Diceros bicornis minor: one gene and its partner. The protein of the gene in region 1 interacts with the protein of each later gene in a pairwise test. Links are inferred from orthologs where the notes say so. Each region holds a gene or a part of one and is shown on either strand. Other genes may lie near its edges.

Region 1 (7,065 bases):
CTCAGGCACCCTGGCAGGTGGTGGGCCCGGCCCCGCCACCAACAAACCTCTGACTCGGGGGCTGGGGCTGGAGTCGTCTGTGGGTTCCACGTCGTCGTACAGCTCGTAGGTCTCATCCGGGGCCCTGCGGAGATACCCCAGGTGAGGGCCTCCTCCGGCCACACCACCTGCGCCCGCGCCCCTCGCTCCCCACACTCACTTCAGCGCGTCGGCAGACAGACGGGCCTGGAAGTGGATCCCAGTGGAAGAGTGGGTCCTCCGCAGAGCTGTGGGGAGATGGGAGCAGCAGGGAGGCGGGCAGGCACCGCCAGGGAGCCCCTGCCCCTTCCTTGCCGCCTGTGCCGCCCTGACCCACCTGTGGCCGCCGCCGAGGGTCTCCGAAAGCTCTGGATGTCCCTAGGGCCCGGGGGCAGCGGGGGCTTGGCTGGAGGGGGTCCCAGGATGCTGACGGAGGGCAGAGGCCTCCGCCGGGGTTTGAGCCCCAGCCTGGACCCTCTGCTAGGAGTGAGAGCCCCCGACCTCTGCTGCCTGGCTCCAAACCCTGGGCTGAGCGGGAACCTGGGGCTGCAGCCCGCCACGGCAGTGGGCAGTGAGCTCTCGGAGACGGAGCCAGGGAGCGGGGGCTTCCTCGGGAGACCCCCGAGGAACTCAGCCTGCGTGTGCTTCTTGAGCAAAGTGCTGGGCTCAGGCTGTGAGAACTTGCGGGGGGGCCCCCGGACCTCGAGCTGCAGAAGATTCCTGGGGAGCAGGCTGACCTCGGGCTCCGAGGAGGTCCTGGGGAGGCCGCCCAGCTCGGGCTGCGGGGGCTTCTTGGAGAGCGCTTTGAAATCGGACTGCTGCGGCCTCTTGGGAACCACACTGACCTCAGGCTCCGAGGACGTCCTGGTGAGGTCACCAAACTCAGGCTGCGGGGGCTTCTTGGGGAGGCCACTGACCTGAGGCTGTGGGGGCTTTCTGAGGTTCGCATTGAACTCGGGCTGCGGAGGCTTCTTGGGAAAGGTACTGAACTCAGGGTGCGAGGGCTTTGGGGTGGCCTCATTGGGCTCAGGCTGCCGGAACTTCCTGGGGAATGCACTGGATTTGGGTTCTGTGGGGGGCCTGGCAGGGTGGCTGAGCTCAGGCTGTGGAAGCTTCTGGCCAAGTGCGCCGTGCTCAGTCTGCGAGGTCTTCTGAGGGGCCTCACCAGCCTCCGGCTGCGGGGGCTTCCTGGGGAACAGAGTGGCCTCAAGCTGTGGGAACTTTTTGGAGAGTTCGCCGAACTCGGGTTTGCAGGACTTCTTGGGCAGATCAGCAAACTCAGGCTGCGGGGGCTTCTTGGGGAGACCAGGGAACTCAGCCTGCGGGGGCTTCTTGGGGAGATCAGCGAACTCAGCCTGCGGGGGCTTCTTGGGGAGATCAGCGAACTCAGCCTGCGGGGGCTTCCTGGGCACTGCACTGAACTCGGGCTGCAGGGGCTTCTTGGGGTGCTCGCTTAGCTCAGGCGGCGGAAACTTCTTTAGGAGTTTGTTGAACTCAGGCTTTGGGGGTTTTTGGGGGTGTTCACTGGTCCCAGGCTGAGAGGCCTGGAACTTTGCTTGAAGGGTCCGAAAGTCCTGATGGCTCCCCTAGGGGACATGGAGCCAGTCAGGCAGGGACTCAAACACACAGGGGTTGTGGAGAGACAGCCCTGGGGACACACCCCCTTCCCTAGGCTCCTCCTTTTCCCCACCCTCTGCCCTTGGCCCTCTTCTCTGTTGGCTGAGGACTCCCACATTCCATGGGCTCCTGTAAACTACACCCTCCTGACCTCTCTGCTTGGGCTCCGAATGCGCACCCAACCTCCCCCCTATCAGCGCACATTCCCCCCATCAGGACCCGATTTCACCCCCATCAGGACCCGACCCTCTCCCCATCAGGACCCGACCCCACCCCCATCAGGACCCGACCCTCTCCCCATCAGGACCCGACCTCACTCCCATCAGGATCTAATCTTCCCACATCAGGACCTGACCTCACTCCCATCAGGACCCAATCTTCCCCCCATCAGGACCCGACCCTCTTCCCCATCAGGACTGGACCTCCTCCCCATCAGGTCCCAACCTCAACCCTATCAGGACACAGTCTTCCCCCCATCAGGACGCGACCTCACTCCCATCAGGACCTAATCTTCCCACATCAGGACCCGACCTCAACCCCATCAGGACCCAATCTTCCCCCCATCAGGACCCAGTCTTCCCACATCAGGACCCAATCTTCCCCCCATCAGGACCTGACCTCACTCCCATCAGGACCCAATCTTCCCACATCAGGACCCAGTCTTTCCCCCATCAGGACCCAGTCTTCCCACATCAGGACCCAATCTTCCCCCCATCAGGACCTGACCTCACTCCCATCAGGACACAATCTTCCCCCCATCAGGACGCGACCTCACTCCCATCAGGACCTAATCTTCCCACATCAGGACCCGACCTCAACCCCATCAGGACCCAATCTTCCCCCCATCAGGACCCGACCCTCTTCCCCCCATCAGGACCTGACCTCAACCCCATCAGGACCCAATCTTCCCCCCATCAGGACCCGACCCTCTTCCCCCCATCAGGACCTGACCTCACCTCCATCAGGACCTGACCTCAACCCCATCAGGACCCAATCTTCCCCCCATCAGGACCCAGTCTTCCCTCCATCAGGACCTGACCTCCCCGCCATCAGGATCTGACCTCACCCCTTCAGGGCCTGAGCTCCTGTCCGCCCTACCTCCCTCGGCCCCACCTGCTGCTCCTTAGCCTCCCCCTCAGTGGGTGGTGCCTTCCTTCTGAGCATCCTCGAGATCCCCTCGTTCTTGCACCCCCTAGGTCCCCAGTCCTTTCTGTTCTCATTTCAAAATACCTCCGGAATCCAACCACTTCTCACCGCCTGCACCACTGTCACCACTGGAGGAACTTGCCAGAAGCACTGTCCCCCGTTGCGTGGATTATTGTAACAGGCTCCTCCCTGGCCTCCCGCCCCCCACCCCATTCCTGGTCAGTCCCCCCACAGCAGCCGGGGGAAGCCTGTTAACCATGAGTTGGCTTGTGCCTCTCTGCTCAAAATCCGGCAGCCTTCCTTCCTCTTCCTAGGAAGGCCCTGAACCGTCCATCCAGCAACCTCTACCTGGTCCCCAACTCCTCCTCCCTCCTCCTCCTCCCCCCCCCCGCCCCCCCCCGCCCCTAGCCTGGGACACTTCCCCCCACCGCGTGGTTCTCTTCCTCCTCCTCCTGCTCCACTTCTCTGCTCCAGTATCTCCTTATTAGAGAGGCCTTCCTCCCAGACCACGCTAATTTAAAAAAAACAATTCCCCCTTCCCAATACTCTCCATCCTCCCCAACCTGCACGATTTTTCTCTTAGCACCTGCCGCCCTGTATCATACTATTTATTTCACTCATATGGCTTTTTAAATGAGCAACTCGGCTCATTCACTGCTGTCCTCCCAGTGCCTGGCACCCAGTCGGGGCTCCGTCAACATTTGCTGAAATGAAGAATATACACAGGGCACAGAGACAGGCGTCGACTCAGCCATGTCCAGCCTGCCCCTCACGGACTCATGTAGACGGATGCAGAGAGACACTGAGAGACCTGGGGGCAGATGTGGGTGTGGGGTCTCTCTCTGAGGCCCAGACACCCAGGCTGGCGGTCAGGGGCGCTCACGGTCGACGGCACCCCTGGGGCCCAGCATGCAGGCCCCCATGCAGCCTCTGTGGCTCATGCAGTCTGCCCTGGGTGCCATCGCGACCGGCCGCCAGCGGTCACAGACAGGCAGAGGCACATGTATGCCAGGCCTGCTCTGCCTGACAAATTACCCCCGAGGTGGCCCCGCTGCAGGCCCCCAATCTCCCCCGGGGTCAAGGAGATTGGGGGAGGGGAGGGGCAGAACCATGTGGACTGTGCCCCTGTCTGTGCCTCGCTTTCCCCATCCCGAGAACAAGGAAGGTGGCGACTCCTTTCTGGGGCCTGAAATGCCTCTGTTAAAGCCCCACTATGGTCGGGTGGTCGGGTGGTCGGGGCAAGGGCTCCCAGGTGACCCACAGGGCCAGAGAATCAGGGTCAGCAGGTCACCTTGGATGACTGCCGGGGTCGGGGGGGCAGCAGGTGCGTAACCCAATTTCTCATTCACAGGAAGCCCCTGTACTGCTCATCATAGCTGCCTGCTACCCACTTGCTCTTCACACGGACATGGGGGAGGGGAGTAGTCCCGGCAGTCCCCCTGTCCCCCTTACGGTCGCAGGCTTGGCCTGGACCATAGCCCCCCGGAGCACGAGGTGTCCCAGAGACGTGTCTTGGATGCTTCCCACCTCTGGGCCTTTGTGACGGTCATTCTCGTTTTCCAGACGGCTTCCTGCCCCTCTCTGCTGCTCCCCTCTTGGAACTCCCCAGTTTCCACCCACAGCACCCCTTGCCTCCGGCCCGTGGGGGCCCTCCCAGGGCTTGGGGACTCACTCACCATGGCTGCAGGCGGGTGGTGGGCCGTGGGGCGAGTGGGACCCGAGCCGGGGCTGCTGCCTTCAGGAAGTGACTGTGGCTTTTGCTCCACGGGCCCCACGAGGTGGGGGCTGCTGGCGGGTGGGGAGGGCAGAGGAGGAAGGAAAGGAGGCGGAGACAGCCCCAGCCTGTCCCTAGATCCTGTTGGGCACTTCTTAAGCCCCTGCCTTGCCTGCTACTGTCTCCACGCCTGGTGCATCGGACGGCAGCACATTCCCAACCCAGTCACTAGTTTCTCGACTCTGCTGTCCCCCTCACTCTCCGCTGACCTCTGGGCTCCACCGGGGACTCTGTGTCAGGCCCTCAGGACCTCCTGCCAACGGAGGCAGGCCAAGGCCCGCTCCAGCCAGGGCCTCCACGGGAGAGGTGCTCAGTGGGGGAGGGGCACAGTCAGCTCCAGGCGGGGAGACCCAGGAGTCGGGTGAGTGTGGCGGGTGAGGCCCTTCTGGCTCGTTGCCTCATCCGCCTTCGTCATTTCAACACTTCCCCGCCGTCCGATTCCCCAGTTCTGAACAGGACTTCCTTTTTATGTCACACGGACTGTGGATGGCTGTGGCTGGGCAGAGGGCTAATTGGGATGGCAGATTTGGCGTTGGGTGGGTGGGTAGTGTCCACGGCCTTGCCCCTTGGGGAGGGAGGGAATCTAGGGCACCCCAGGTTCCCAGAGGACAGAGGATGGGAGGGAAATGGAGATGGCTGGGAGGCCAGCGAGGAGGGGGTGAAGCTAATGGGCAGGACCATCGCTGTGCGATAGAGTGTGAGGCCCGGCCAGAGAAGGGCTCAGGCCCCAGGAGGTCAGTGACCTCGGGCACACAGATGAAGAAGGAACCCCTCCCCCGCCCTGGAGACAGCAGAGGCCTGATTCTCAGTTTGGCTCTGCATCAGATCACTTGAGGAGTTTACACAAAGACAGAAGCTCCTGGAGATTCTGACCAAATTGGTCTGCAGTGTGGCCTGAGCCTGGGGATTTCCTAAACACTCGAGGGGGGATTCTAACTCACAGCTAAGCTGAGAAACCTCGAGACCCCACTAAGTGCAGGTCCATGGAGGGGCCTCAGATTCCAGACCATCCCAGGTGAGGCTCATGCTGCTGGTCCAAGGATCACACCTGGAGTAGCAAGGATGTAGATGTTTCCAGAAGGATCCGGAAGGATCCAGTTGAGACAGAGAAGGAGGCTCATTTGTCTTGAAGAGCTCTTCATTTACCTGCCCTGCCACGAAGGCCACAGGCAGCACAGTTGGAAACAACCTTGCCTGCTTGTTCCTATGTCTGCTTTAAGAGCACAGCTTGAGGATTCTGGAGCCGCTGTGCCTGTGCCTCTCCATTCCTGCACCGACACACACGCATCCTGGGCCACATTCCCAGATGTGGGTCCCACTCCAAACAGGAGTCCCGGAGGCCAAGGATGACGAGGTCTGAGTCCTCGGCACCAGTCACAGGCTGACTGACCCTCCCAGTGTGCGGTGAGGGGAAGAATGAATGAAGAACCAGCGATTATTGGCCGAGAGCACACAGTAGGCGCTCAGTCAAGGTAAGCTAAAGGGCTGAATGACCGCTAGTGACTCCCCAGGCACTCTGTGGACACCCCCCGCCAGGAACTCGCAGATTGGAGGGTCCCACCGGGCAGAGCCCCTGTGGGCCGGGCACGCAGGCTCCCGGCTCGGCCCCCAGGGGGCGCGTCCCCCCCCACTCCCCGTTGCGTGTGTGGCGTCTTCGTGGCGGCCGTGAACGTGGACAGGCGGCTCCACTTGGAGCTAGGGAACCGGAAGCCCAGAGAAGGGAGCGCGGGCCAGGGTGCGCCTTCGGGTCTTGCGGGGGTTCGTTGGGGCGAGCGTCTGAAACTGCGGGCCAGGGAGGGGTGTTGGGGTTCCGAGCGCGCGGAGGGAGCCCAAGCTGGTGTGCCCCATCGCTGCGCCAGAGCCAAGGGCGGCGACAGCGGCAGCCAGGGGGGCCGGGCTCAGACCCACGTGGTCCGAGCGCGCGGGGGGGAGGACGGAGCACGTGGGCGGCCGAGCCCGCCCGCGGTCGCGGAGGTGTCGGGAGCGCGGGAGGGGGGTGCTCGGGCCCGGTCGGTAGCAGGGTCCGGGGACGCGCGCCCAGGAGCCTTCACCTCCCCTCTCCCAGTCAGGGGGGAGGGTAACCGAGCCGGCCCCCACAGGTGATGGAGCGGGCGGTGGCCCCCCTCATTCCTTCTCCCTTCAGACTGACACTCCTGGGCGCCCTCTGCTGGGCGGAGCCGGGCCCCGAGAGCACTCGGCTTGCAGGCATCCTGGAGTTAGGGTGAGGGGGGACCCTCTGTGGAGTCAGAGCTGGGCCAGAGGGAGGGCAAGGACAGCGGGAGCCCAGAAGGGGCACTGGGAGCAGTAAGACCTCCCAACTGAGCGGACAAAAGTTGGCAGGGGTGAGGGTCAGAGGTGGTTTTCCGAGTGGACAGGGTGCCCAGGCCAGGTGGTGACCCAGGCTCCCTAGGCCTCGGGGCCGTTTCAGCTTGCCCCAGAGGGCAGCAGGGGGCTGTGGGCTTCTTGTATCCATGGGAGGGGCTGCTGCATCTACGTGGGTGATGGGGTGG
Region 2 (7,262 bases), on another chromosome or scaffold:
ATATATGGGGGAGGGTGTTTTTTGTTTTCAAACAAAAATGAGATATTATATATACTATTGTGCTCCCGGCTTTTTAGTCTTAAAAGTGTTATGGACACTTTCCAAGCCAAGAAACACAGATCCATCACATCTTTCTTAATGGCGGCAAAGTATTCCAGAAGATGGATAATCATTCAGACCATCACCCCACCTTTCTCAACTCATGGACATTTAGGATGGAGCCTTGTACATATACTTCATGTCCCTTAATTTCAGTAACACAGATTCCTAGAAATGGGGTTTCTGGGTCAAATGAGACATTTTTAAATGTTTAAAAATTTATCCTTAAATAAAATTAATTTTAGACCTTCAGAATTTCTGTTCCTTTCTTCATTATGCAAAATATTGGCATAAACCTTTCACAATGCTTTGCATATTTTATTTTTAAAAGCACACACATTATGTCAAAAAATGCCCCTGTCAGTTATGCTTGTAGTTATAAATTAAAAAATGCTTAAGTTATGGCTGTGATGGCCAGCGTTAAATCACTGTGCAAATGCTCGTGCCTTAGTTTATGAAAGTAGTAATTCATTGTGGAAACTCCACCCCCACGGCCATGTGGCAGCACTAAAGAGGCAGCTCTCTCACCCTGTGACTCCCTCCACTGAGTGACAATATAGAGATCAGGACCTACATATTTTCTAATTGTCAACAGTTAACCTTAAAAAGTGTGTGGGGGAGGAGACAAGTAAACAGCAACAGACAATAAACTGATAGTCATTATGGGTTTCTAATATCCACAAATTATTTGCAGTACAATGAATAATTCTGCTGGTCTACACCACAGACTGTATTCCATAAAAAACAAAACCTATAACCAATATGTTGCTATGATTACATGAACCTTTCAAAAACATATTCTTCAAACACTTTTCAATAGAATTATTGGTCGAATCCCCTCTTTACATTTTTTCCTCTGCTTCAGATTCACTCTAATCGCAAACTTTAAGAAAAGGCCTTAAAGAAATACATTAACCAACCAACAAAGCTCATGAAAATTTAATCTCAGACTCCTCTATATATTCTAAAGACCCAAGAACCTACAGACATTGTTAAGACACAGCAAGTTTGATACAGAAGTATGTGACATGCAATTAATCTCCATTCATACCCTGCTCCACTTGTCAGCAAACAAAGGTTCTGCTTTAGAAGGAGATCTGAAGACTTCAATTAAAAACAGTCAGCTAACAAGAAAATAATCTAAGCTAAAGGAAGGTGGCAGGTGCAGAAATGAGTTGTTTACCAAAGTGTCAGTTTTGAACAATAAAGAACTGCACATCAAAAATGATGAAGGAGTGGATTTCATTGCAAGCCTCTGGAAAGAAAAAGGAATTTTCTACCAAGGCTGCACACAAAACGGTAGTATAGTTTAACAAGCTTGTAAAATAGGTTTCCTCTCATCAAATGACAGATACCAATAAAAAGAATCACGTTATATCTTTAAATGCAAGGGCAGAATTACACTTTTTGCCAGTTCCTTCTCTTCTGGAAACCAGACACTTACAGCCTCTCTTTACATATCAAATATTGAACCAATAGCAGAAGGAAAAGTTGGATTGCTTCTTCCTAGACACCCAGATGATGCTCTTTTACCCCGTAAATACTTTTCTCCTCTGGAAGTTTAGATTTACTCAGGTCATAAGTAAAATGGATTTTGGAAACTTCACCTCAAAAGAAATACCTAGTTGACAGCTTTTACATAGAAGCAATCCAGAATGGAAACAGTGCTACAAACAGAGACCAAAAGGACTTGCCAAATATTTGATTAGGAGGCATTTATACCAAGATAACAAGGTAATGGAGATATAAAACCAATTAAATTGAGAGAAACTGAAAAAAATATTGCTTGCCAAAAGTATGACCTGCCCAAAGCAGGCCATCTGTTAAATATGTGTCAAAAATGTCACTTAGATGCCAAAAGGCTTAACTCTGAGCAGCTTCCTCCGGGGACCCTTATGCAAGCACAGATTCCAAGTCTCTGTCCTTCCCAGAAGGTCAGTTACAGGAAAGCAAGTTACTTTCACCAGAAAAAGTGTGAACCGAGCAGACGATATTGCCCATTAGCTAGAAGTCTCTTTGGAGTGTCAGAAGAATGTGTGGATTGTCAGTGAGCATGGCCTTAACTCTTAAAAGGAGTGCTTAGGCACTGTAGTTTGAAGGTGAACACACCACAGTGGGGCACTTCTAGAAAAGTAAGAAATGTAGTACTGAGTATCAGCCTGCCCTGGGTGGATAACAAGACCCTAGAAGTCTTCCGGCTGGTGACACAGGCGTGGGGTGTCGGCGCTGACAACTCACAACTACCCCCAGGCCTTGGCCCACAGGATGCCATGAGCCCCTCGCAGCCCCTCGAGAGCCTCAGGGAGCTCTAAGCAGAAGGTGAGGGTCTTCCGTGAGAGGTGGCGGGGTCAGGGCTAGGGAGGGCGGCGGGTGAAAACCCCCAGACCTAGGGGGAGTCCGGAGGAGAAAGGGACAGGCTGAAGACAGCAAGGTGGCAGAGAGGACCAGGAACCTGTCCTGGACTTGTTCAGAAGCCAGGGAGGTTAAGTGGAACGCCTTGAGGGAAAAGAAAGCGTGGAACTGAGCGGAGTGAAAGGGCCCCTGAGGCGGGAGGATGAAAGCCTGGCTTTGCAGGGTAGAAGACTCTAGAAGCCTTGAGGTTCTAGAAGTTGGTGAGTGATGGAGCTGAAAAGACAGCCCGGCCTCGGGAGCCCCTGGCGTCTCCTTTCCTCCCTTCGGCTCAGCACTTGGGGGAGCAACCGGACGGTCGGGGAGGGGGCCTGGCCCCCGGGCAGGGGCGTTACCTTGCATGAGCCAACAGATCTCCTCCGGGAGGACGGCGGCGGCCTGCATTTGGCGGGGCGGTGGGGAGGCCGAAGTGGGAGGCGGGAGGGGGCCGTGAAGGCCCGGTGCCGAGGTCGGCGGGCGGGCAGGCGGCGGGTTGCCGGCGGAGGCACCTGTACCTCTGTCGCCGCCGCCGCGGGGCCGAGCCGCAGGGCGGGGCCGGGCACCCGGGCGCGCTCAGGAAGTGGCGCGCGCGGCGGGCGGGGGGCGCCCGGGGCGTGGGGGCCACCTGTGCGCGCGCCACTCGCGCCGGTGCACTGAGGGGGGGCGCCGCATCATGCAGGGCCAAAGCTGTGTCCCTCCAGGACCCGCCCACCAAAACAAAAGACTTCACGCGACTCAAAGGGACCTCGTCTCTTGGAGACTTCCCATCCGAAGCACTGGACGTCGGCCTCAAGGGGCAGGTTTAAAAGCCACCGTGGTGCACTAAATGGGGCGCGAGGAGGCAGAATCCGAGGAAGAGATTAGTGCCTGCCCAGCGTTGCAGCACTCAATTCCCAGTCCAGTTCGCACGTCCACGCCCAGAAAACCAGGGTAGAACGTTCGCTATCTCAGGCAAACCACGATGTTTAAAGGGAATGACCTTAAATCTCCATAAGTAATGTAAACCCACCAATTCTGGGAGAATCAGAGCTGCATGGCTGCAGTGGACACGGGAAGCCCAAGTGTCCCGTCCTCCCTAAGGCTGAGAGGATGTGAGGACAGGAAGGGGTAACCTGGGGAGAAAGCTCAGGGAGAGGGGAACGGAGCCCTTTCCCCCTCAGAGCTGACAAAGAGAGGAAAGTCAAGGGCAAGATCACAGAAAAGACCTCCCCCTCTCATTCAGGGGACAGCAGGGCTCAGTGTCGTGGTTGTGCTATGGTGCTGCAATACTGCGAGATGTTACCACTAGGGGAAACTGGGTCAAGGATAGACAGGATCGCTCTGTATCATTTCTCATAACTTCTGTGAGTCCACAATGATCTCAAAATAAAGAGTTTACTTTTTAAAAAAATACAATAGGCCAAGTGCCACGAAAAAGGAGTAAGGTGCAGTGGGCAATAAAATGAGGGAGGTGAATATAAGAAAAGGAGGGAGAGGCCGGTCTATGTGTATTTAACAGTGCATGTGGCTTTTGAGGTGGGCTCTGAACACACCAGACTTTGAAGGGGCAGGAGGGCTTTCCAGGGGGAAGGACCAGAGTAAACAAAGATGCAGAAGCCTTCTCCTGCTTGAGGAATGGCTAATAACCCTCTTTTACTGAATGGTGTAGGGAAATTATGGTTGTCAAGAAAAATTGAAGCTCTATTGTGAAGGGACTTGAAAGTCAAAATAAGAATTTTGAACTCAATTGAGTGGGCACTGAGGAGCCATTGGCAAATTCTGAGCTGGGGAGTGGCCTACCCTGAGCCCCCATATAGTGTGTGACCTTGCCTATCTCGCTTCACCTCTACCGTTTCCCTTCTTTGTAAAAAACGGAGCTTCTATTCTCAGACTCTACCTACAGAGTATGTGGGAAGGTTTGGGAGTGGTAGGGGAGAGGACACGGGGAAGATGGGGTAATGGTTTTTACAGCAGCCTCAGGGGAAATAACAATGGAACCGTGGATAAGGGGACAGGAGCGGCAAGGAGAAAGTGTCCAGAAGAACTCCTGGTAGCAATGCTTGCCTCCTGGCATGGTTTCCCCTCCAGAGATACAGTCTCACGGTTGGCAGCTTGAGCCTTTAAGGGCTGCAGTGACTTTGAGCCATCTTTATGAGCCTGTGCCCTGCAATCTGAATAGGAGTGGTGCCTTGGTTTCAGGCTCACATGACCCACCCCCAAGTTGCAGCAAATTGGGGTGGGAGTGAGGGGACAGAGGCTGGCAGGAGTTTCTGGGGACTCTGGCTCCTGCTGCAACTTCTTCTTGCCCTGGGAAAGTTAACGGTGGACAGGCTGCCTCTTCCAGGCTCTGGAGCAATTCAGTTCTCCGCTAGGGCGTTTATACCACACTCACTGCTCCTTCTATAAAATTGTAGCTGCTTTGGGATGATTTTTGAGTACTTACGGCATGTGTTTAAAAAACATGAGAAGATCTATGGCAACTCTCTGCACTATCATCACAATTTTTCTATAACTCTAACTGTTCTGAAAAACAGCAAGGGAAACAAAGTCCCTCCTGTGTGTAACCCCAGCACTTTGCCTTGCTTTCCCTCTCAGCAATGGAAGGAAATTTGACAACCTCCACTTCTTTTTCAAGGATATTGGTCAGACGCTAACATAGGCTACAAGCGAATGAGTTGTTTGATAAAGACCAATAAACCCAGGCAATTGCACATCCTCTCAGGCCTCACTGCCTGTCATAGCTTACTTATACCGAGGGAAGCAGCAGAAACTGGTGGCATGGGTATTCTACATCCATCCATACATCTGGGTTTTAGAGAGACGGGGTAGAGGGAGGTACAGAGTTGGGTAGTGTGCAGTGGGTGACTGGCAGATTCCAATACGGCATTGTCATGTTGCATCAAGGTTCCTCACTGCAGACAGAAACCTGCCTCCACACATGAGCGCAGCCCCTCCTTAATCATCTGAGAACCCTGGTTCAGCAGTCAGCCTCACTCCTAATGACATTCTGTTAAATGGACAAATTCCTTTGAAGCCTTGTCCTTCTTTGAAATCCAATTTCGCAGGAAGCCAAATCTCATTGGGGGTAGCCATGGAAACCACACCAAGGAGTCTTAGAGGAGGTGGAGAGAGGCAAGGCAAAATGTGATAGTCAAGGGTCCCTTTACTGCTCTGTCGGAAATATCAAAGGGATCCAGAGAGGCTGGCAGCAGACGAGTCCCTGCCCAGGTCCTGTTCTGTGTGGCTGCGTACCATGTGGCTGTCATGGAAGTAAGCAGCCAGCTGTCTCTGCACACAGGCAGGGGGATGGAGCAGAATACACAAATCCCAGGTCTGTCTGCTTCCCTCTTCTTCCCCTCCCCCAGCCCCAATTCCAGCAAGATCTTAGCATCCTCTTCTTAGCTGACTGCCTCGCAAAGACAAACAACAAAAGAATGACAAGGTTAAAATACAAGACCCTCACAGATAAGAGGTCCTTTGGAGCAGAGGCCATGAAATTAATCTGAAATTCCTTGTAATTAGATAAGATAAGGGTATCTAAAGAGATGCAGAGCAGCCAGGAATGGAGTCCTGCAGCACAACATGCAAGAAATATACCGCCTGGTCCACCAGGGCCCCTCACACACTGTCAGCAGACAGAAGACACAGAAAACAGGGCCCATGCCAGCCTCTTGGCTGCTTAGAGATGCCGTCTACATGTTCTCATGCCAGGTGGGCACTCACTAAATATGCATCCATGGGGTGTCCAGAGAGCTCAATCAGGAAGAAACAAAAGCATCTGGCACCCAGAATGGCATGGGGTGGGAACAACGGCAGGCAAAGCAGGAGCCGGCTGGCACTGCTCCGCCCTGGGTGCGATGGGTCTAGAGAGGAGACTGCGGAGGGCAGGCTGTGGGCCTTTATTCCAAGCTGGTTATTGATCTCTGGATGCTGGGTCATGACACGCGGCAGAGCTGACGTCTGCCCTGTGGATGTGCGGCCACTGCATCTCAGCCCCTTGGTCCCAACCCCATCAACCAGGTTTATTGACTCTTTTATTGACGATGCTGGGGCCTAATGAGGACAAGAGCTGCACACTTCATTAAGGGCTGTGGAAGGAGAGATGATGTGTCCTGCCGGTGCCAAGAACCAGGCTCACTGCACGCTTTGCAGGGCTCCGGAAACCAAGCCTCATGCCACCCCTGAGGCAGAGGAGACGGATACAAGATGCTCACTTGGGTGCATCACTTCAGTGGCCTTAAATGCAGGGTTTCCACAGCTTGCCAGAAGCCTTGCTCTTACTCATTAGCTAACCTTTCAACTTAGGAGGGTCGTATTACACACTCTCACACAAATGCACTTCGATGGTCTCCCCTTTCAGCTCACACGCCTCGATTCTCTGCACTAATACATACAACAAAATAAGCGGTTTCTCATGTCATATCAGGGAACATTCCCAAAGCAGGTTCTCAATGAGGCACAGGCTCAGATCAGAACGAAGGATTATTAAAACTCCACAGAATCTTCAGGGTGGTCAAATTCAAGATGAGGGACAGACCCAGTGCTCTGCCCAGGGCTACCCAGATCACCAGGGGCTGCATGGCATCAGAATCCTGGTTCTGTAGCGCTGGTCCAAAGCTCTTGTAGAACTGAACACCTGAGATGGGTAACTATAGCCCAGGGATCACTGAGCAGCTCTGTGAAGCAGTCATTGCTTGTCCTCCTCCATCTTAAATGTAACATTTCTTTCTTTGTTCTTTATCTTATCTTTCTATCACTCCCCTTATTATTTTTCCCTATATTCCCTGATCACTTTT

What was found.
Region 2: the proteins of PRAM1 (region 1) and SKAP1 interact in binary tests that used the Homo sapiens proteins (3 or more experiments, as listed by UniProt). The two-hybrid records come from large-scale screens. The link is inferred for Diceros bicornis minor from reciprocal best matches to the Homo sapiens genes PRAM1 and SKAP1.

The regions. Positions count from the first base shown.
Region 1 is NW_026691615.1:234,922-241,986, reverse strand, and holds the start of PRAM1 (PML-RARA-regulated adapter molecule 1), read right to left. Parts: upstream 3,010-7,065; 5' UTR 2,995-3,009; coding exon 2,866-2,994; intron 1,605-2,865; coding exon 356-1,604; intron 267-355; coding exon 200-266; intron 125-199; coding exon 48-124; intron 1-47. UniProt on the Homo sapiens protein: May be involved in myeloid differentiation. May be involved in integrin signaling in neutrophils. Binds to PtdIns(4)P.
Region 2 is NC_080757.1:37,527,890-37,535,151, reverse strand, and holds the start of SKAP1 (src kinase-associated phosphoprotein 1), read right to left. Parts: upstream 3,008-7,262; 5' UTR 2,893-3,007; coding exon 2,844-2,892; intron 1-2,843. UniProt on the Homo sapiens protein: Positively regulates T-cell receptor signaling by enhancing the MAP kinase pathway. Required for optimal conjugation between T-cells and antigen-presenting cells by promoting the clustering of integrin ITGAL on the surface of T-cells.